2 linked regions of the Tribolium castaneum genome follow. The protein of the gene in region 1 binds, or shares a complex with, the protein of each later gene. Links are inferred from orthologs where the notes say so. Each region holds a gene or a part of one and is shown in the gene's direction. Other genes may lie near its edges.

Region 1 (10,826 bases):
TTAAGCCAAAAATTATTATTTTAAATTTATTTACCTATAGTTGTTCTTCAAAAATATTTTTTTTAAATAAATTCAAAGAATGGAGTTTTTAGCTCAAAAAACTTGTAAATATTCAACGAACGCAAGAAATAACAACAATTTCGACGATTTCTCGACTTACTTTTGTCGAAATCTTGTGAAATGATTGAATTTTTGAATAAAAAAAGATCGAAAAATTTAAAATGCGAGAAATCACAAAAAAAACTGGATAGTAAGCTCAAAAACGTGCTGAACATTAAAAATTACATTATTTTGGATCCAGCTTAAAGATTTTTCAAATTATTTATGTCAAAAATCTCGCGAACAAATTAAGTGTTTCGAAAAGTCAAAGTCCCTAAGTAATTGTAGGTTGCGTATAATAGTCGAATTTTTATGCAAAACATGAATAAATCTAAAACATGGACTCTTGAATGACATCACAACTACATTAATACTAATTATGAATCCAAGGTTTTTTCGTCCAGTAATCGAACCAAACTCGCCAAAAATAACTTTGTTGTGACAAAACAACACTTAAAAACGACACATACCTTGTTTGTTGTCATTTCGTAGATTTTTAAATTTTTTGCAAACATAATTCACTCCCAAACACCAAACGTAACGCATCGATCCACCATGTGGTCTAATTAAGACATTTATTCTAATAAATTATTATCACTTCTCTTATCAATGTCAATACAAGTGATAAAAAATTTGTCACAAGTATACATAAAATGAGGTGCGGTTGGTTGTTGTCTTTAAAACGCTTGAAGATAAACGAACGCTGTTACGAACCGTATGTTATGACTCAGTACTTTTATTACACTTGCTAATTAATATATTATATGTAATAAGGAAAACATCTATTTTTATTTTAAAATAACGCCAAGTGGAGACAGATAATAACGCAATTACGTAACTATTTCTCTGATCGAATTCCATTCAAAGAAAATGCACAAATAATAATAATAATAATATAATTAAACACATCTTGAGCTTGAGAATGTTCTCACTGATTATGCGGTTTTTACAATTTCCGATAAAATAATTGCAAGAATGTGACCGAGGTCAAGATGCAATAGAAAAATTGAAACAAACAAGAACAGATAAAGATTGTTTCAAATATATTTGTTCCATGTTTTCTCTCCTCTCTGTATTAATTAATTAATTTAACAATAAAAATTGGACGAGAGAAAGACGTGTGAAAACTAACTCACTCCCTTGTCTGTATTTTAATTTAAATCCTTTCAAAATAATGGTTATGAAGGTTTCGTGCATTTTCACTTTTTATCTAATTTACAAATTTTATGAATTCCAATTATTCCAATAATTTATTCCATAATACCATAAGACCTACTTTCCATATTCTCAATAAATCGAGTTATGTAAGAAATTGGACAAAGTCGTTTAAATCCCTTACCTGTGAGTTTGTCATCGTAACATCCAAAAAAAAAGCTTCAGAAGAACAAATTCAGTCTCTTGGCAGCGTTTCATGCAAGACACCACCACAATAAAGAAGACTGGAAAACACAGAAAGTAAAAACACCAAAAGCAAAAACAAAAAAAAATTAAAAAAATAAACTAAGCCATCAGAAGCAGATTCTCTCTCATTCACAAACAAATAATCAATCACTGAACTGAAAGCGCTGCTGACAAGCCGTGCACGCTATAAACAACTAGAACAGGTGCTTTTCAACGACTGAACTAATTAAAACGAGTCTTAATTGACAGAACATCCCTTTCTCCATCGAATTTACTTGCACTTAGTACTTTCAAATAGAAAACTGTGCAGAATTGTGCATTTTTAGTGTGCCTTAGGAAGTGGCAATAACAAGGATTTGGCCAAGTGTAAAAAAATTGGTATGCACAGTTACACAATGGAAATGGGTATTTCGACTTTTTTTACGTAAAAAAATCTGATATGCTTCAGAGTGTGCAACTAATTCCATATTCATATCAAATTAGAGGTTGGGTAATTTTGAAGATAGAAATCTATTTTGAACGTGTTTTACCGTAACACCATTACTGTTTACAAATTTATTGGTCTCGAGTCAGTTTTTATACAAATCAATCAATTTAATAAAATAAAAAATATATTGACAATTTTTTTTTCAAAAATATATTTTTCGTTAAAATTTTAGTTCCATTATTAAAAACTTAATGCTTATTTTTCAAGCAATTAGTGATTTATAGTTAACTTTAATTCATTTAATACAAGGTGAGGTCAAAATTTTTAGAACAAAAAATCGAGTTATTTTCCATTGTTTCGCCTCCTAGTATATAGTTCTCCATAGTCCAAAATAATTATTAAATATTGTAAACAATGATAAAAAAGTGTGAAATCATCTAAAATACGAGCAAATAACTACATTAATAAAAAAAAACTTCATTCATATCAAATTAGAAGTTGGGTAATTTTGAAGATAGAAATCTACTTTGAACGTGCTTTACCGTAACACCATTGCTATCTACAAATTTATTGGTCTCGAGTCAGTTTTTATACAAATCAATAAATTTAATAAAATAAAAAATATATTGACAATTTTTTTTTCAAAAATATATTTTTCGTTAAAATTTTAGTTCCATTATTAAAAACTTAATGCTTATTTTTCAAGCAATTAGTGATTTATAGTTAACTTTAGTTCATTTAATACAAGGTGAGGTCAAAATTTTTAGAACAAAAAATCGAGTTATTTTCCATTGTTTCGCCTCCTAGTATATAGTTCTCCATAGTCCAAAATAATTATTAAAAATTGTAAACAATGATAAAAAAGTGTGAAATCATCTAAAATACGAGCAAATAACTACATTAATAAAAAAAAAACTTCATTCATTTCAAATCAGAAGTTGAGTAATTTTGAAGATAGAAATCTACTTTGAACGTGCTTTACCGTAACACCATTACTATCTACAAATTTATTGGTCTCGAGTCAGTTTTTTATACAAATCAGCAAATAAAAAAATAAAAAATATATTGACAATTTTTTTTTCAAAAATATATTTTTCGTTAAAATTTTAGTTCCATTATTAAAAACTTAATGCTTATTTTTCAAGCAATTAGTGATTTATAGTTAACTTTAATTCATTTAATACAAGGTGAGGTCAAAATTTTTAGAACAAAAAATCGAGTTATTTTCCATTGTTTCGCCTCCTAGTATATAGTTCTCCATAGTCCAAAATAATTATTAAAAATTGTAAACAATGATAAAAAAGTGTGAAATCATCTAAAATACGAGCAAATAACTACATTAATAAAAAAAAACTTCATTCATTTCAAATCAGAAGTTGGGTAATTTTGAAGATAGAAATCTACTTTGAACGTGCTTTACCGTAACACCATTACTATCTACAAATTTATTGGTCTCGAGTCAGTTTTTTATACAAATCAATAAATTTAATAAAATAAAAAATATATTGACAATTTTTTTTTCAAAAATATATTTTTCGTTAAAATTTTAGTTCCATTATTAAAAACTTAATGCTTATTTTTCAAGCAATTAGTGATTTATAGTTAACTTTAATTCATTTAATACAACGTGAGGTCAAAATTTTTAGAACAAAAAATCGAGTTATTTTCCATTGTTTCGCCTCCTAGTATATAGTTCTCCATAGTCCAAAATAATTATTAAAAATTGTAAACAATGATAAAAAAGTGTGAAATCATCTAAAATACGAGCAAATAACTACATTAATTATAAAAAACATCATTCATGTCAAATTAGAGGTTGGGTAATTTTGAAGATAGAAATCTACTTTGAACGTGCTTTACCGTAACACCATTGCTATCTACAAATTTATTGGTCTCGAGTCAGTTTTTTATACAAATCGATAAATTTAATAAAATAAAAAATATATTGACAATTGAACAAAAAAAAATTTTCAAAAATTAAAAGAATAAAAAAAGAGTAAAAAGATTTTTTCAGAAAAAAACGTGGTTTAATTTAAAAACACCGTTTTCGACCAAAAGGTGGATATTTGAAACGTTGACATTGCAAACGTCAAACAAGCCAGTGTGACCACAGGCCTGCCAACTCAAACAGTGACTCTTGACCACTCTGTATAACATAACGACAGTTTTCCATTTGTGATTAAATATTTACATTAAATAATCAATTTAATTACCTACCACACATGTAACACCTGATAACGTCCCAAAACCGGGCTAATAGTAGTAATTAAAAAAAATCTTACCCTTTTTGAGGGTTTGCTGCAAGAGCGGTTATCCACAAAATTAATTATTTTATCTCCGGTTGCTGGCAACAGAGAATTCCCAACATTGCTTTCCGTTTCTCCAGTCATAATAAATGAATTACATAAAAAACCCAACAATTTTGTACTGATTTTAAATAAAAAATTCAATAAAACAATAAATCACAACGTAACTTTTTTGACATTTGTTTGACAGCGATCAACGCGTTGTTACGTCACGAAGTGGCTAACGCTACGATCTTTAACTTATTTCCGACTATTTTATGGCATTGAGGAGAATAATAATTATAATTAGCACCAATTGCAGTGCATAATTAGTACGTAATTAAAATTCCTGCCTTTGTGCCTGGCTTTTTGCGTGAAATAACTAAACGAGTTGGCGCGTTAGTCACTTCCTTTCTGACAGTTCCAATTTTAAAAACGGTTAAAAATGAGCGAAACGCAAGAACAGAAGCGCTGGGGGCACCTGCGCAAGGTGCTGGAGCGTCCGGGCCCCTTTTGCCACCCGGAGTTCGAGCCGTCACCCGAAATCATGGATTTTATCGTAACCTCCTGCAAGGTGCTTGTCGTGGGGGCCGGGGGCCTGGGCTGCGAACTGTTGAAGGACTTGGCTTTGATGGGGTTCAAGCAGATCCACGTCATCGACATGGACACGATCGACTTGTCGAATTTGAACCGCCAGTTTCTGTTCAGACAGAAGGACATTGGGCAGTCCAAGGCCAAAGTGGCGGCGGCTTTCATCAACAAGCGCGTGCCTGGGTGCCAGGTGACGCCCCATTTTTGCAAAATACAAGACTACGATGAGAGTTTTTATCGGAGTTTTCACATTATGGTGTGCGGGTTGGACTCGATCGTGGCCAGGAGGTGGATTAATGGCATGATTTTGTCGCTCTTGAGCTACGAGGATGGGGTGCTGGATAATTCGACCATTATTCCATTGGTGGATGGAGGTTTGTGCCGAAACGTGGGGGCTGAGACAAAAAACGCGCCTTTTTTCGCAGATGGCGCTGTTTCAAAATATCAGCGCCTTCTTGTTTCAGACGCTAAAGTTATTTCTCTCACAAAAAATTGTGTTATTTTAGTTTTTTTTCCATTTTGATATTTTTATTGACATTTATCTTTATCTAACAAACTATTCGGAAATAAAATTACCGTTGGGGGCGCCACTGAGCTAGGTCGAAAACAGTAACCATAAATGGCGGGAAAATGTTTATTCGGATATTTTGAGCGTTGTACGAATTTTGGGGCTTCACAATTATTCCATTGCCTATGCGGAATGATTATTGCATCTTTGATGCAAGAAACTTATGTTGACAAATGAGAGATGACGAGGAAAACACGAATAACGAATGACTGTTTGGTTCACTTTCTTTATTGGAAAATTATTACAAAGACATTGAAAAACCTACCTTTTGGCATAATTTACGTTTAAATGTATCAGCAGTTGTTAATCTTTATTGTAGTTTTGTACATTTACTGCAGCATTTCATGATTTTTTCAGTGGAAAATTCTAATCTAAAATTCATAACACTTCACTAATTTATTGGTTTCTTGAGCCAAACTTTGTGTTCGCTGTGATTTATTACTTATAATCTTTAATTAGACAACTGTTTGATAACACTTTGTAATCAAAATTTAAATATTTTTCACTTTTTATCCACTTTCAAGTTCCAACAATAAACACTTTATACCATGAAAAACTACAGAACCAAAGTCAACGCTAGTATTTACCACCACGTACTTTTAAAGTAATTCTTTCTATTGTAAGTAATTAACACTATACACGCAAAATTGTTGAACAATTCATTAAATGTCAGTTAAATGTGGCATTACGAAAATTTCTTTACTGTCTTCGACATAGTTCAAAAGTCATCACCAGAGGGCGTCTAGTTAATTTTATTTCCGAATAATTCTTCTTGTTTACAGCGCCATCTGAACTGTGCTGTGGCGCCAAAATTTAAAAAAATATATATAATTGAGTAATAATTTATTTCCAGGTACTGAGGGTTTTAAGGGCAACGCCCGCGTCATAGTCCCTGGCAACAACGCCTGTGTTGAGTGCACCCTTGACTTGTACCCCCCTCAGATCACCTACCCTTTGTGCACAATCGCCAACACACCCCGCCTGCCTGAACACTGCATTGAATACGTAAAGGTGGTTTTGTGGCCCAAGGAGAACCCCTTTAATGCGCCCCTGGACGGAGACGACTCCCAGCACATTGGCTGGGTTTACGAAAAGTCCCTGGAAAGGGCGTCCCAGTTCAATATCCCTGGAGTGACTTACCGCCTTGTTCAAGGCGTCGTAAAGCACATTATTCCAGCAGTGGCGTCAACTAACGCCGTTATTGCCGGAGTTTGCGCCACAGAAGTGTTTAAAATCGCAACGAGTTGTTGTCTACCGTTGAATAATTACATGGTTTTCAATGACGTGGACGGGATTTACACTTACACTTACGCAGCGGAACGGAGGGACAATTGTGTGGTTTGCTCCCAAGTGCCGCAAACTCTACCGATTGAGGATCCGAGTAAAGTCAAGCTGAAGGATTTGATTAAAATCCTGTGTGAGGATGAGATGTTTCAAATGAAAAATCCAGGTTTAACCACGGTTATTGATGGGAAAAATAAGACTTTGTACATTTCCACGATTAAGAGTATAGAGGAGAGGACCAGGGATAATTTAAATAAGACTTTAGTTGAGTTGGGGCTTAAGGATGGCATGGATATCATGGTCGCAGATGCTACGTCTCCCATGACGTTGGTTTTCACACTTAAGTTTGCAACGAGCGATGTTGAGATGAAGTAATTGTGTTATTTATTTTTAATAAAGAAAATTACAAACTGGGTTTTGTTTCATTTTAACGGTTATTTTGGCCCTTGAAATGTTTATTGTTTGATTTTTTTAAGTTCTAACCACTCTATCAATTTTGATATTGAAAAAAACACTTTATATCTTTATATCTTTTTTTTGGTATTATTGCTTAAAATTTGGTCGGAATTTTGACTTAGGCCTTATTATAGCTTCGCCGTAATCGGCCGTAGGGCGTTTTTCTCAGAAAATATGACTCGGCGAAGATAAAAACCATCAGAATGAATAAATAAATATTAAAATTTAGTTTTTGCCGGGAGTTTCTCCACACAAGTTGGCCACCCCAAAAAAAAATTCCCCTGATCGGTGGCCACTTTTATAATTTTCCGCGGTTTGGTCCAAAATCGTGCATCACACCGTAGTCATAAGTGATTCCCCGGTCATTTAACCCCCGTCAAAGTTACAATAAACGTTTTGTGGAAGTATAAATTCAAAACTGGCGCGTCAGGTGTGCAACCACATGACGTTTCCTCTCTAGTTCTCGTAGTGCGAGAAATGGCGGACGAGAAAAATGTGGAGAAAACAATTTCGGAAGACTTGGTCGTTACCAAGTATAAAATGGCCGGAGAAATTGTTAACAGTAAGTTGAAACGTCGCTCTTGAGCCCCCCAAAAAAAACACCCTCGGCTAAATTCACCCAGCGCCATATGCTCCAACCATGTGGTCTCCCAGCAAGCGTTGGCCCCCGTTTCGGTCATAACTAGTTTTTTTTCAGGAATTTTGAAACAAGTTCTCGAAAAATGTAAGCCAGGCAGCTCAGTTCGCGAGATTTGCGAGTTCGGAGACCAGCTTATCACGGAAGAAACGAGCAAAGTTTTCAAGAAGGAGAAGGAGCTAAAGAAGGGAATTGCCTTCCCGACGTGTGTCTCGGTCAACAACTGTATTTGCCATTTTTCTCCCATTGCCAGTGAGTCTGATTATGTCCTGAAGGACGGGGATATGGTCAAAGTGTAAGTGAAAAAAAAAATCTCTAATGGGACACAACCAGCTTAAGGGTTAAAATTAAATTAAATGGTTTTTGCGCCAAAAATTGCGGAACAGTACCATACAGTCTTATTCAAGTTTAGAGAATCAAGTAACACGTTATTTTTATTTTCTTGTCAAATGTTCGATCCTGGCGCCGAGCTTTTGTTGTATGATGAACTAAAATTGGCGGCAAATTTGAATGTTTTATTTTTAACACATTGTGTTAGATGTTAGGTTTAGAGAAAAACGAGTGACATATTTTCGGGTCCGTTCTTTGAGAAAATAATTTTGGTCAAAACTGTGTTGCTATCGTCTTTTGTTTTCGACTTATAAACAAAAGTTGACATTTTAGTGAAATATTAAAAAATTCATATCTTCCTTGTTGTGAAAGATACACATTTGAAACAAAGACATTATTACTTTTTTACAGAGAATTTAATAATGTTATCAGTAATCTTTCTTAATTACAAAGTTGTATTTTTTTAAAATGAGAATCATAGTTGGCTATGACATTTTCGAAAAGCCTATTTTTTTCTGAACTCAAAACAATATAAATATAGTTTGATATTTTTATATATTTTTGATAAAAATATATTTAAAATATTTGAAAGTAGTTGGCCATGGAAAAATTATTTCACATAAAAGGTGTGAATAATCTAGAAATTTTGTGAACGGTTATTAAAGTAAAAAATGTGAAATTATAAAAATAAGTTAAAGTTATTTTCAATTGAACAAACATACGAGCGTCGCAGATTTTAATTACATAAAAAAGGTGCAGAAAATTGCAAACGATGTCTCACTACCACTAGATGACACTTTTTTTATGATTTAGTGCAATGGAGGTGACGTTGATAATGTTGTGTATTTTTTTACCGCAGATGGAATTTGATTTTGGTGTTTGGATTGACATTTTTTTGTAAAATAAAATTTTATTGATACGCAATCATACAATTAATAAGATTTTTCTTCTTCCGACATTTCATGTTTAAAATTGGAAAATAGAATGACAACGTAAGCTTGCCATTTTAAATATAATAACAAATAATTTTTATTAATTGCAAAAATTTGATATAATAAAAATTTATTGGCTGTTTTTGAATTAATTAGCGTTTAAAAAATCATTAAATTATAAATACTTGTTGGGTAATACAATTTTCATAGTTTTAATTTAAAATCCAAAATTTTTTCATGGCCTACTATAAAAAAGGCGAAATGTTTTGTTTTTTCTTAAATATTCAAAATAAATGTATTACACAAATAGACATATCAAATCAGAAAAAAATAAGTTTTTCGAAAATTTCACAGCCAACTATGATTCCAATTTAAAAAAATACAACTTTATGTTATTACAGTTAAACGAATGGTTGAAAAAAATCGCTGATAACATTATTAGATTCTCTGAAAAAAAGTGCCTTGTGTATAATGTCTGTGTTTCAAATGTGTATCTTTTATAATAAAAAAGATATGATTTTTTTAAGATTAGAACTCTGGTTGTGTCCTGCTTCCAAAAATTAACTCCATGATGATTTATTTAACTCCAATTGATCCAACTGAAATCAGTGATTGCAAATATACGATCTGATGTAATATTATTATAAAAAAAAATAGTTATGCCTTTTAATGTGCTATCTTGCCCCTTTTTTTTAGTGATTTGGGCGCGCATATCGACGGTTTCATCGCCGTGGTGGCCCACACGATAATCCTAGGTGTCTCAAGCGAGCACAAGGCCACCGATCGAAAAGCCGACGTAATGCTCGCAGCACATTATGCTTCCGAAGCCGCTCTAAGACTACTAAAGCCCGGCAACGAAACATACACAATCACTGACGCCGTTCAAAGAGTGGCCGAATCGTTCAAATGTAAGCCAGTCGAGGGCATGTTAAGCCACCAACTGAAACAGTTCAAAATCGACGGCGAGAAAACCATCATTCAAAACCCGAACGAAGCGCAGAAGAAAGAGCACGAAAAGTTCGAACTGGACAAGCATGAGGTGTATGCCATGGACGTGCTGATCAGCACCGGCGAAGGCGTGGGCAGAGAGGGCGATAATCGTGTCTCGATTTACAAAAAAACCGACGAAACTTATCAGTTAAAACTCAAAGCTTCGAGGATGTTTTACAGCGAAGTGCGCACCAAGCACGGGAATATGCCCTTCAACTTGAGGAGTTTTCAGGACGAGACCAAGGCCAAAATGGGGGTGGTGGAGTGCGTCAAAAATAAGTTAATAGAACCGTTCCAAGTGCTTTACGAAAAACCGGGTATGTTTCTTCCCCTGTTATGGAATTTTTTATCTAGCGTTGATTTTTTTCCATTTTCAGGCGAATTTGTGGCCCATTTCAAGTTCACGGTGTTGTTGATGCCGAACGGCCCCCACAAAATCACAGGGCTGCCTTTCGACCCCGAACTGTACAAATCGGAGCACTCCATCAGCGATCCACAAGTCCAGTCGATACTCAAGAGTTCTGCTAACCCTAAAGCTGCCAAAAAGAAAAAAAGGAAGACGGAAGGTGAAGTGGACCAACCAATGGAAGTCGAAGCTGTAGCTTAAAAACAAATACTAGTTTTATACAAGCTTTCTCCTCACACTCGGCACTTTGTATTATTTTATTATCTAAGTTTTGTATTTCATTTCTTTTTTAAATTTTCATGACGAGATTTTTTCTTCAATAAAACTGACCCCAAGTGTTGAAATTGTTAACTTTAATAGATTTTATATTGCTGTGACAGCAATATGATGAATGAATAAATATAGTGTTTGGTAGTTGGG
Region 2 (11,064 bases), on another chromosome or scaffold:
TTTCAGGTGTTGGGTGTTTGCGTTTCTTGCTTTTCTTTCCAACTTCTGACACCTCTGGGACTAATTTTTTCCCAGTCTTGGATTCAGTAAACGTAGAAACTTTTTCCTTCTTGGTTTTTTTAGCGTGCACTTTTTGTTCCACGGTTTTATCTTCATTCCCTTTTTTGGATTTTTTAGTGTGTGACTTTTTCTTTTCGCCAGTTTCGTCGTTTTCATCTTCTGTGTCCTCGAAAAGTTCGCCGGGTAAAGTTTTCGACAAGTAGTTGCTAATGGAGAAGAGCTTCTTAGTTTTCTTTGACTGTTTCTCCTCATCAGTGTTCTTATTTTCATCGAAAGACTTTAACAGTTCTTCATCACTGGCATCCGACTCTAAATCGGACGTCCCTTCAGTGCTTAGTTCCGAGAAAGTTGAATCGGCACTTGGTTTCCAGGAAACATCCTCTTCGTCACTCTGGCAAGACTCATTTAGGAATTTTTCAAAATTTGTGGTTGTAGACTCTTCGGTTGAATCTTCACTCAGACTTTCCTCCGAGGACGTATCACTTTTCTGTGCCTTCCAGGGTGTAGATTTCTGTTTAGGAGAAACAACAACAAGCGATCCACGCTTCTTGCTTTTCTTTGCAGAGTCATCTTCATCTTCAACCTTCAATTCTTCTTTATTTGGTGTTTCTTGGCAAATTTTTCGCCGTTTGCTTCCTTTTTGCGGTTTTTCTTCCGAAACATTGGACGCAGTCATCGAAATTTCAATCAAATCGCCTTTTTCCTCACTGTCGGAATTTGGGGCTGCGTATTCCATGGACACATTGATGGAAACATCGCCCGTACTTTTAATCGTAGAACAGAAATAATCAACCATGTTGTGGATACGGCCGCTCAGATTGGCTTCCTTGTCCTCATCAGCCTTGATCGTTTCTTGCAAGGAGATTGAGACACGATCTGACGAGCGTCTGCACACACTCTGTGACAGGACCGAAATTTCGGGTTTATTTTTATTTTCCCCATCTTTTTCCTTCTCTTCACCGCTTGTAGAGGTTTCTTCTTCACTGTCGCTCACTTCTATGGGAAGAACGTCTTTTTGTTCAGGTTCTGCCTTACGCTGGATGAAGGCATATTTAGAATCGATCGATCTTTCGAAAATACTGTCTGATGAACTTTTATTTTTTGATGTAAACACTTCATCGTCGCTCACGCTGTTGTACTGTCGCATTTTTTTCACTGGTGACGCGTAGTCCTCTTCAGATTCTGACTCGGCTTCAAATTCTTGTTCCTTGCTTGGAGTCACTTGCTTGTTTTCAATCACTTCTTGAGATTTTTCGGTTTCATTCTCAGCTTCTTTATCGGTGATGTCTGATTTAAACGATTGATCACAACCATCAGGCTTTTCGTTCACAAGGGAATTTTCCTTCTCTGAAACATTTGGTTTTCCTGGTGTAACTGAACTATCACTGATATCGTCCCCTGATTCTTTATTTGGAGTTGCCTTCAGAGAACGTTCTTCTTTTGTGACACTTTCTGGAGCAGAACCCTTTTCGGGAGTTACTTTACTTTTTATGGGTGTTTTCTTGGGAGATGGACTCCTTCCCTTTTGTCCTTCCTGTTCAAGTGGTTTCACGGGTGTGTTTATTTTTTTACTTTTAGGAGAGTCGATTCTGGGACTAGCAGCGGATTTATCATTCACTTTATTTTCAGGACTTTCCTTATTTTCTGTAGGTGTTTTCCTGACAGGACTTGTCTGTTTGTTAGGTGTGAGCATTTTGTCCATTTTTTCGAGTGGCGAATTGATTCTAGGACTTCTTCTAGCCGGTGTTTCTAGTGACTTTTTGGACACTTTCTCTTTTGGTGTCAGTTCTTCAAGCATAACAACAGCCTGCTTGGCTGGAGTGGTATTTTTTTTCTCTGGGTGAAGTCCTATATCTTCAAGCATAACAACAGCCTGTTTGCTGGATTCTTTATCAGGACTCTCTTTCATTAATTGATTCTGTAGTTCTGTAGTTGGAGAAATTTCTTCCATTGCTTCAACACCGTTAACTTTCGGTACCTCTTTAGGAGAGATTTTTTCTTCCAGTGCAACAGTTTCTAACTTAGTTTCATGGGCTTGCTTAACAGGAGTATCGATTTTCTTCACTGGGGTGATAATTTTTTCTTTTTCAGTGCTTGATTCATTCAATTGTTTCGTCACAGGTGTGTTAATTTTTGACTTGTTCAGTTCTTTCTTCACTGGGCTGTTAATTTTTTCTTGTTCCATAACTGAATCGTTCAATTCCTTCTTGGCTTCAGCAAGGTTTTCGGCTTTTTTTGCATCAGAAAGTGGTTCATTTTCGCGTGAAAGATTTTCCGAACTGTTAAACTTCCCCTGAGCTTCGGTAAATAAGCAGTCAATTTCTGCGTCATCAACATCCATCGGTTCAAAATCCATGTCTTGAGATGGGGTTTTAGGATTGACGTTTTCCTTGTTGCTGGGATCGGTATTTGTTTCGTTTTTATCGCTGTTTTCACACACGGAAAGCTGCAGAGTGAATGAATGGTCAGAATCCGTCTCAAACTTGTCGCTTTCTCCGGTTCCTTTAACAGGAGTTGTTTCTTTGGTGGCTGTTGGTTCCTCGGATTTTTCCTGAGACACATTCAAGACTTTGTTTTGTTCTTTTTCTTCAGTTTTTCGTTTTTTCTCTGGACTTGGATCTTCTTCTGTTAAACTAGCCTCGTTGATGACGCTCAAATCAAGGTCTAATTTAGTACTTTCAGGCTTCAAGTTCTTTTTTATTGTAACTGGTTCATCCTCTTCTGAATGTTCATCTTCGGCAATTGACTCCAAATTTGTGTTGACGGGTTCATTGGAAGGCGATTTTTTTGTTGGAGTAGCAACAGGTATTTCAGATGTCTTCAAGGACTGTTTTCTAGTTGAAAGTTTCAAATCATCGACGCTGTTATTCTGTGACAGAGAACGAGTCCTTCTTGTTGTGGGCTCATCTTCAACAACATCTGCATCATCAGTAACGGATCTTCGACGTCTTGTTGTTCTTTTGACTTCTGTCGTTATTTCTTTTGTAACAGAAGAGCTTCGAGTTGTAGGTCTTGCAACTGGCTTTTCGTCATTTTCAACACTTGATGATGCAGAACCTGAATAAAAAAAATTAAAAAACGAATTAACAGAATACTTAGATACCTTTTCTAGTTATTGATTTTTCCTTGTTTGATTCCAATTCCTGACTAAACGAAGAACGTCTACCTCTAGTTGCTTTCGGAGTTGAAGTTGTTGCTTCACTAGCTGAATTTCTTCTAGTTATGACTTTCGTTGGAACTGGTGAACTGGTACTTAATCGAGTTGATCTTCGGAGAGGGGAACTGACCACTGGTTCTTCCTTTTGGAGTTCTTTGACTGGAGTTTTTCGCGGCATCGTGGCTAGATATTGCAGTTTTGTAAAAATACAAACAAATTGGTCTGAGATTTGTTTATTTCAATAAAAGAAGGTTCAATATTTTTTATAAATAATAATAATAATAATAATAATAATAATATATACTACATATATTCGGTTCACTTTCATAAAAACCACTGTGGTGGAAATTGGGTACTCTTGGCATTAACTTTGAGTTGTCATGGTAACGGGTTAGTCAATTCCACCACAATGGTTTTTATGAAAGTGAACCGAAAATATAATAATATACTAGGTAGTTTTTCAATTGATATTTTTAAATGGAAACACCTTTAAACCCAAGAGCCAGAACAAACCACAATTTTAAGATTTTTGTTTAATAAAAACCACCCCTTTACTTATCAGATAAATGTTTCAGCAAGACAAAAATTAAGCAAAACTGTAGGAGTTAAAGAATTACAAAAGAACAAAAAAATCTACTATTTTTGCTAATATTTCAAAATCTTTAAATTAGGTTTCATCAAAGGTTTTTTTTCCGTTGGTAATTCATATATCACGCTTGGGAAATAAAAATTACGTAAAACACACCACTTTTATCAACATTTTCCAACTTCAAAACGTGATTTAACTGAATTTTAAAAATTCCGTGCCCTGTTAAAGCTTGGTTTGTTAATTATTTGACTGAATGCAATCAGAACTGGTAACAGTACCACATAAAAAATACCAAAAACAATACTATAAAGTAACGTTTTGTAGCATTGTTTTTTTTTTAATAAAATTGTGTTAAAAAACAGGTAATTGGTAAATTAAAATTAAATGCGAAATTGAAAAAAAATTAATAAAATTACAAAGAATACAGAAAAATTAACCTTTGTGCCTTGCTATTTATTTCTGCAATTTGAAATAAATCAATTGTTGTAGTGGCTTTTTCGTTTATATAAGTAAGAAATGTATTATTTCAAACATATCCGTTAGAAACAAAGAAACATGAAGTGAAAATCTGAAAATTTTATAGGAGCAAAATTCAGCAAAAAGGCTTAATTCTGCAAATGATGCAAGACAAGGCAAGAAAACTGATTCAGTTTGTGTCCCTTGTTAATAAAAAGCTTCTTTGAAATCGAGACCACGTGTTTTTTAGATGTTCTCTAAAATTTTAACCAACTATCCTCCATCTCCCCTATGTGGAATGAACTCCTATGCACAATTATCTAGAGTGCTGATTTATTTAATATTGCCCAGATTTCATGCTACCTTGATTAAAAAGAAGAAACAGACAAAAAGGTTTTTTGAACGAAGATAAACCGTTTTTTTTTAAACCGGTGCCGGAACCAGTACTTGTAAATGAAACCCTATAATAAAAAAATGACATACCTGATAATGAACAGAATACGAACTTGGAAACACTGACTTTATCGCGATAGCAAATACAATAAAAATTTAACACTTTAACACCGAATAAAATTAAAACACAATTTCACGTGTAAGGACTTGCATGTCCCAAGAATCGCAGATGTCGCCCTTTTAATTTTCTTCGGCAATCATCGTTTTGCAACGGTTTACCTCTCCATTGATCTGTAAAATATAGAGCGCAAACTGTATCAAATTTGTTAATTAAATCATTTATTTTGCGGCCTAACAGCAAAATAAACTTACTTTAAATTAGCATAGTTGTTTAGGAATATAATGCAATGAAATATTAACGTAATCCTACAAGTATAATTTTATTGCGTAATGTTTCCAATCTAGAAATTTTTCACTTCTAATACATATTTTAGTGATTTTTATTTCCAAAACTAGTGCAAATTGCCGGCATTGAAAGCTGACATTTGGAGTGAAAAAGGCCGACAGTTTTTTAAATTTTACAAGAAGTTATTGTTGTGTAACACATAAAAAGCCTTGTTTTAAGTTTTTAATCGATAATGTCATCTCCCGCGCCAAAGTCGCCGGAACAAAGCGAAAAGAGCAAAAAATACGACCGGCAGTTGAGGTTAGTCAACATTGACCAGTCATTTTTCAAAAAATAAACGAAAATTATAGATTATGGGGCGATCACGGTCAGAAATTTCTCGAAAACTCAAAGATTTGTCTAATTAACGCCACCGCTTTGGGTACGGAAATTCTCAAAAGTTTGGTTTTGCCTGGCATTGGTTCCTTCACGATTGTTGATGGTGAAAAAGTAACTGATGATGATATTGGTTCAAAGTAGGAGTTTTAAAATTAAGGAACGTTGTCTGAATCAGTTGTTTTAGCTTTTTTATCGAGAGTGATTCAATAGGGATGTCTAGAGCACAGGTAGCCACTCAAAACCTACTTGAGCTGAACCCTGATGTTAGAGGGGACTACATTGACGAGTCCGTTGACCACATTATGGCCCACAGTCAAGATTTTTTTGACACGTTTTCTGTCGTAATTGCAACGTGTTTGCCAGAAAAGTAAAATCAATAGAAATGACGTCAGGAAATAATTGATCAAATTTTAGAGTTTTAATGCCGCTCTCTAGACACTTATGGGAAAAAAATGTACCACTTATTGTATGCCGCAGTGTGGGCTTTCTGGGCTACATAAGAATACAAGTCAAAGAACACACCATAATAGAAGCCCACCCTGATAACGAAAATCATGATTTACGCTTAGATAATCCATGGCCTGCACTTAAAGAACATTTGGATAAAGTTGATGTAACCAAACTAGACAACAAGGAACGCAGTCATGTGCCTGCGGTGGTTATTCTGTACTATTATTTGGCGCAGTTTAAAAGCAAACACGGTAAATTTCTGGTCAAAGTGGCCGTAATTTTGAAACAAAGTTGGCAATGCTGTTGTTAGGTTTTGTCAGATGACCATACTAACGATGTGCATTTGTTAGTTATGCTGCCAACTTAATTTTTAAGTCATAGGCCACTCTGATAGAGTTACTTGAAACCATGAAAGATTCTATACAGGGTGCTCAAGTCACGTACCAACTCAGTGGTACTGCAAAAATTCTGACTTATTTTCTTATAAGTTTGTATGTCTACTGAAAAATTCTAACAGTACTTGAATTAAAAAAAATTGTATAAACCTTGGGACTTCTCGATCGTCTCATTGACAACATCAAAACTGTTTTTTAAAGTGAATAAAGTCAAACATTCAATTTTTCTATAAAATAAAAAACAAACAAAGCTTGTTAAAAAAGTTTTCAACAGAAGAATCGCTCCTTGGGACCTTAAATACCTTGATAACATAAATTAAATTTTTTATTTGTCTTTCCACGTAGCGATTTTCTTGATTTTCGCAGAAAATAAAGCTTGTCACAAGGGCTTGCGGTCGTGAAAAGATGAAGAATCAAAAATCATTCTTTAGGGCTTTAATAATTTTTTTATTCAATTTGTTTCAACTAAACTAGTAAAAATATTGTTGTATTCTTCCAAAATACTTTCTACAATTTTTCACTTATAAATGTCCTAAACTTCCTGAAAGCGTTAATTTTTTCTTGTTTGGTTGAAATAAATTTAAATAGTCCAATTTTTTATTGAGTTGGTGCCCACGTTTTTGAGCATTCTGTATACAAAACTTAATTGTTAGGCCATTTACCGAAAACTCGAGCCGAAAAGGAAGAAGTTAAAAAAATGATAACGGAAAGCCCCCCGCCTGATGAACACGGAATTAAGAACTTGGAGGAGAATTTTAAAGAGGCTATTCGCTACATTAATACTTGTATTAACCCCATCAAGATTCCCCCAAATTTGCAAGCAATTCTGGAGGACGATAGCTGCATAAATGTGAACCAGAACAGTTCACCTTTTTGGGTTTTATGTGCGGCCTTGAAGGAATTTGTTGAAAAAGAAGGGGCGCCCCCTTTGAAAGGGACTTTACCAGATATGGCAGCTGACACCAGTAGCTACATCACGTTGCAACAACTCTACCAAAAACAGGCTCAAACCCAGTGTGAAATTATCTACAGGAGGGCGTTAGAAATTGCGCGAAATTTGGGCCTCTCTCAAGAGACCATAACCGAATCTGAAGTAATTTCCTGTTTTAGTGTTTTTCTGTATTGAATTCTTGGTTTCAGGCTAAGCTATTTTGCAAGCATGCGAGTGAGTTACATGTGATTCGTGGCAGTTGCATTGCTGATGAATATCAAAAAACTAGAGTAGATCTAACGTCATGTCTTGAGGATCCTGATAGTTTGATGTTCCATTACATAACTCTAAGAGGGCTAGAGCGCTTTATCAGTGAATTTAATAGTTATCCAGGGCAATTGGATGACCATGTGGAGCCTGATGTGCTTAAATTGAAGGGCATTATTGGGAAGTTGTTAGGAGAGTGGGGTTGTTCACAGATAATCAGAGATGAGAGGGTACACGAAGTTTGTCGCTACGGGGGCGCTGAACTGCACTCAGTCTCGGCTATTTTGGGCGGATGTGCGGCTCATGAAGCCATCAAACTTATAACTCTGCAGTATAAGCCACTAAACAACACCTTTATTTACGATGCAATTACCTCAACTTCTGCCTCGTTTACTCTTTAAGTGGTTGATTTGTTATTAGGTTACTAAGAGTAAAGTTTTTAAAACGCTTTTTGGTGTAATTATTCAAGACAAGAATGGCAACTTAACCTCAAATTTTTACTACTAGTCGTAATCGGTTAATTATAGCTGCAATTAAAGAATAATTTTGCTACAAGTCACGGTTTTATCAGATAGTTCTGTTTATTGTTATACAGTTGTTGCAAAACACAAAAGAACAAAATTGGAGGCATATCTGAGGTTATGCGGACCTAACCTCACAAATCCAAAGTTGTCAAACAAGTCACAAGTCATCAACCTGTTTAATCTGAACATTAATTATCTTAACATATTCGCATTAAAATAATATGTAAACAATGTGCGAAGTAGGGGAAAACAGCAGAATTTTAGCCTCAACGCCGTCGTCTACAACGTCGGGTTGTTTATCGAATGACGAAGGTTCAGACGATAGGCTCCTGCCTTCAAGTCTAGCGGCGGAAGAGTTGCAATTGGCTTTAAACAAGGTTAAAGGTTATCACTGGTTATTGCCAGTAGTTTTCCTAATACTTGAAACTGTAGGAAGCCACAGAGGAAGAGTTGTTAAAGGCTATCACGCGATGTAAGGACTTGGTTTTGGAGAGCAATCAGTGTTCATTGGAACGCAAGTGGCTCGTGAGGCACCTCATAGAACTACGTTTGAGGCTACAAGAATGTAGGGAAGCGATGGAGGATCCACTGTGATTATTGCATAATTTGTTGTATCACAATTTCAAGTAACGTTTGTTATTGCAGACATCCACGGAATAAAAGCAGTGGTGTGTCGAGGAGAACAGTGCGAGGGCACCATTTAAACTTGCAGCCACTTCTGAGTACTTCCACAAAGTATTGTGATCATTGTACTGGCACAATTTGGTAAAATACTACAAACAGTTAATTGAGTTAAATACATGATTTGTTTAGGAGTTTGGTGCAAGCTTGGTATGAGTGTGAGGACTGTGGTTATGCGTGTCATTATAAATGCATATCGCAAATAATAAGAGAATGTGCTCATGTCGTTGCCAGTGAAAGGGGAGGATATGAGTTGGAAATTTGCCCAGAAGAAGGTTTATCAGCTCAAAAGTATCTGTGCGCCGAGTGCCAGTCACCTCTCCCCATAAGTAAGTACCCAGAAGTTTGTGTTAGACCTAATAAATTGAGGAGGCTTCGGCTTATTTCAAAATGAAAAGTAACGAAATGTGCCAAAAGGCCACCAAATTTTATAGCAATTATGCAATTTTTTCTGTGATACAATTCCTAATTTTAACGTGAGAATTTTGCAATTAAAATAACTAAAAGGTTTGTGTCTGCTTGATTTACAAGAATATCTATTGTTACGATTTGGTAAGGTGGAGATAATTCTTGCATATTTGAAGTTCATTCATCTGCTTCAGCTACTGTTTATAGCTAGTTCTTTTAACTTCATTAAAATGGATCTGTTGCAATAAAAAAAGCAAAAGCAGTACAAAGTGTCATTAAATTAGGTAGTTAAAAATAGTACAAATTTAATATTGATTTTCTGAAAAAAATATTGAATACCAACTTTTTATACCGGATCCTTGTAACAGAATTCTTTTCGTATTGGAAAAATGTACATCTAAATGTCTATTAGGCACTTGAAAAACTTCTGTACACACTGATCACTGTAATTCTGTTTTTAGTCAAAAAAATGCTGATTTATATTTTATTTAATTAGTCTATAAAAGGTTTATAAAATATTAAGTAACAAACTGAATAAAAATAAACAAATTATAAACAAATAAATATAATCTAAATAAATCATCGTTTTCTAAAAATAATATCTATTATAATGGTAAATAATTGCTGCAAAAATGTGAACAAAGACGTAAGTATATCTAATTTTTTCAATCCTACTGGCAATTTCTATATCACCTATCAACCCTTACATAACATTTTTTGAAAGAAAGAAGACGTACTATTTTTGCCAAAAATGCATAATTTATATAATAAATTAATAAATTAGTAATCACTTCAAGATTTTACGAACATTGTTTCGTACCAAATGACTTTATTCTACTTTATTACCTAATTGAACCTTTTTTTTCAATTATTACATAAAAACAACAAACTTTTAATTATTAGCTGTTAATTTTCAATTTCCAACAATATACAGGGTTAGTGTAGTGTGTAGGGGATTTCTAAACCAAATTTTCTAGCTAGTTTTTTAAGAAAATAATACATTTGAGGTATGTTATGTTATATTACAAAGCATTTTACTAGAATGTATAGTGTAGTTACCGTATTTTTTGTTATTTAATTAAAACTGTTAGTGAATTAAAAAAATTACAAAAATTTAAGTTGTTTGAAAATTTCATAAACTTTACTAAACGTAAGGTCAAAATTAAATGTTTAAACTAAACATTATTTTTATATTAAAAATACCGGTAGATTTCCAGATTTCTTCATTTATTAAATATTTTTGTGTTTTATTTTCAAATTGTATGTAACAGTGTTCTAGCGTATTCGATAACTCATTAGATAATAAGGAAAAAAAAGGAATATTGTCCAACTCCCAAATTAACAAAATTCTATTAGTTTACTTTAAGAAAACTGAAAAGCGAAATTTAATTTGCAGCTACTTACTGCCTCAGTTACGTATACCATTAGAGTTGTTCTAATTAGAACCAAAAGAATGTTAGAAGATTGACAATACAGAGTTTAAAGGAATTTCATCATGTTGAAAAATTGCTTACAAAATTTTTTTTTTAATTTTATCCAAAGAAAAAACTAAATAAAATCAATCTTAAAATCACCATTGTCGCACATTTTTCCATTTAAATTTATTATAATTTCTATGTAGATATTTGTCCTCTTTCAAGCCTCACCTTTTTCAAAAATCATTGTATAATTTGCTATTTGAACATTATTTTACTGATGATATACATAGGTGTTGTTAAGGAGCCATAATTTGAAACAAAAATGAATTATTATCTGTATGTAGTTTCAACTTTTGAGAATAATAACATAAAAAAATGCCCAGTTTTAACCACCAAATCAAAATTGTATTTAGTTCGGATGTTCCCATAGTTTTTGTGAATTAATTAAGCAAAGGCCAGGGCATTGTTTTATCAAAATGGACTTACAATTAAATTTTTCAAAACCTTTTAAACTTTTTACTATCTTAATATCAAAGTTCTCACTTTAAAAA

Evidence for each region. The genes of interacting proteins can lie anywhere in the genome.
Region 2: the proteins of Uba3 (region 1) and APP-BP1 are in contact, whole or in part, in a crystal structure (PDB 3DBR), measured with the Homo sapiens proteins. The link is inferred for Tribolium castaneum from reciprocal best matches to the Homo sapiens genes UBA3 and NAE1. Residues at the interface, in NP_003959.3 of Homo sapiens: Trp34, Glu35, Gly36, Arg37, Trp38, Asn39, His40, Lys43, Phe44, Glu46, Arg47, Ser48, Gly49, Pro50, Phe51, Thr52, Phe56, Glu83, Lys86, Asn87, Leu90, Ser91, Val106, Ser107, Leu109, Asn110, Arg111, Phe113, Leu114, Arg116; in NP_003896.1 of Homo sapiens: Glu10, Gln11, Lys12, Tyr13, Asp14, Arg15, Gln16, Leu17, Arg18, Leu19, Trp20, Asp22, Glu44, Lys47, Asn48, Leu51, Pro52, Gly67, Glu68, Ala70, Gly71, Asn72, Asn73, Phe74, Phe75, Gln77, Arg78, Ile81, Phe92, Glu95.

Annotation. Positions count from the first base shown.
Region 1 is NC_087400.1:1,385,843-1,396,668, forward strand, and holds Uba3 (nedd8-activating enzyme E1 catalytic subunit), read left to right. Parts: upstream 1-4,538; 5' UTR 4,539-4,657; coding exon 4,658-5,177; intron 5,178-6,224; coding exon 6,225-7,030; 3' UTR 7,031-7,068; downstream 7,069-10,826. Other genes in the region: coronin-2B, read right to left, coding at 4,210-4,317; proliferation-associated protein 2G4, read left to right, coding at 7,589-7,673, 7,809-8,043, 9,707-10,317, 10,378-10,607. UniProt on the Homo sapiens protein: Catalytic subunit of the dimeric UBA3-NAE1 E1 enzyme. E1 activates NEDD8 by first adenylating its C-terminal glycine residue with ATP, thereafter linking this residue to the side chain of the catalytic cysteine, yielding a NEDD8-UBA3 thioester and free AMP.
Region 2 is NC_087394.1:31,698,462-31,709,525, reverse strand, and holds APP-BP1 (nedd8-activating enzyme E1 regulatory subunit), read left to right. Parts: upstream 1-5,161; 5' UTR 5,162-5,293; coding exon 5,294-5,361; intron 5,362-5,411; coding exon 5,412-5,576; intron 5,577-5,623; coding exon 5,624-5,806; intron 5,807-5,853; coding exon 5,854-6,140; intron 6,141-6,937; coding exon 6,938-7,377; intron 7,378-7,424; coding exon 7,425-7,883; 3' UTR 7,884-7,931; downstream 7,932-11,064. Other genes in the region: muscle M-line assembly protein unc-89, read right to left, coding at 1-3,117, 3,164-3,395; DEF8 (differentially expressed in FDCP 8 homolog), read left to right, coding at 8,237-8,383, 8,439-8,596, 8,652-8,771, 8,820-9,016. UniProt on the Homo sapiens protein: Regulatory subunit of the dimeric UBA3-NAE1 E1 enzyme. E1 activates NEDD8 by first adenylating its C-terminal glycine residue with ATP, thereafter linking this residue to the side chain of the catalytic cysteine, yielding a NEDD8-UBA3 thioester and free AMP.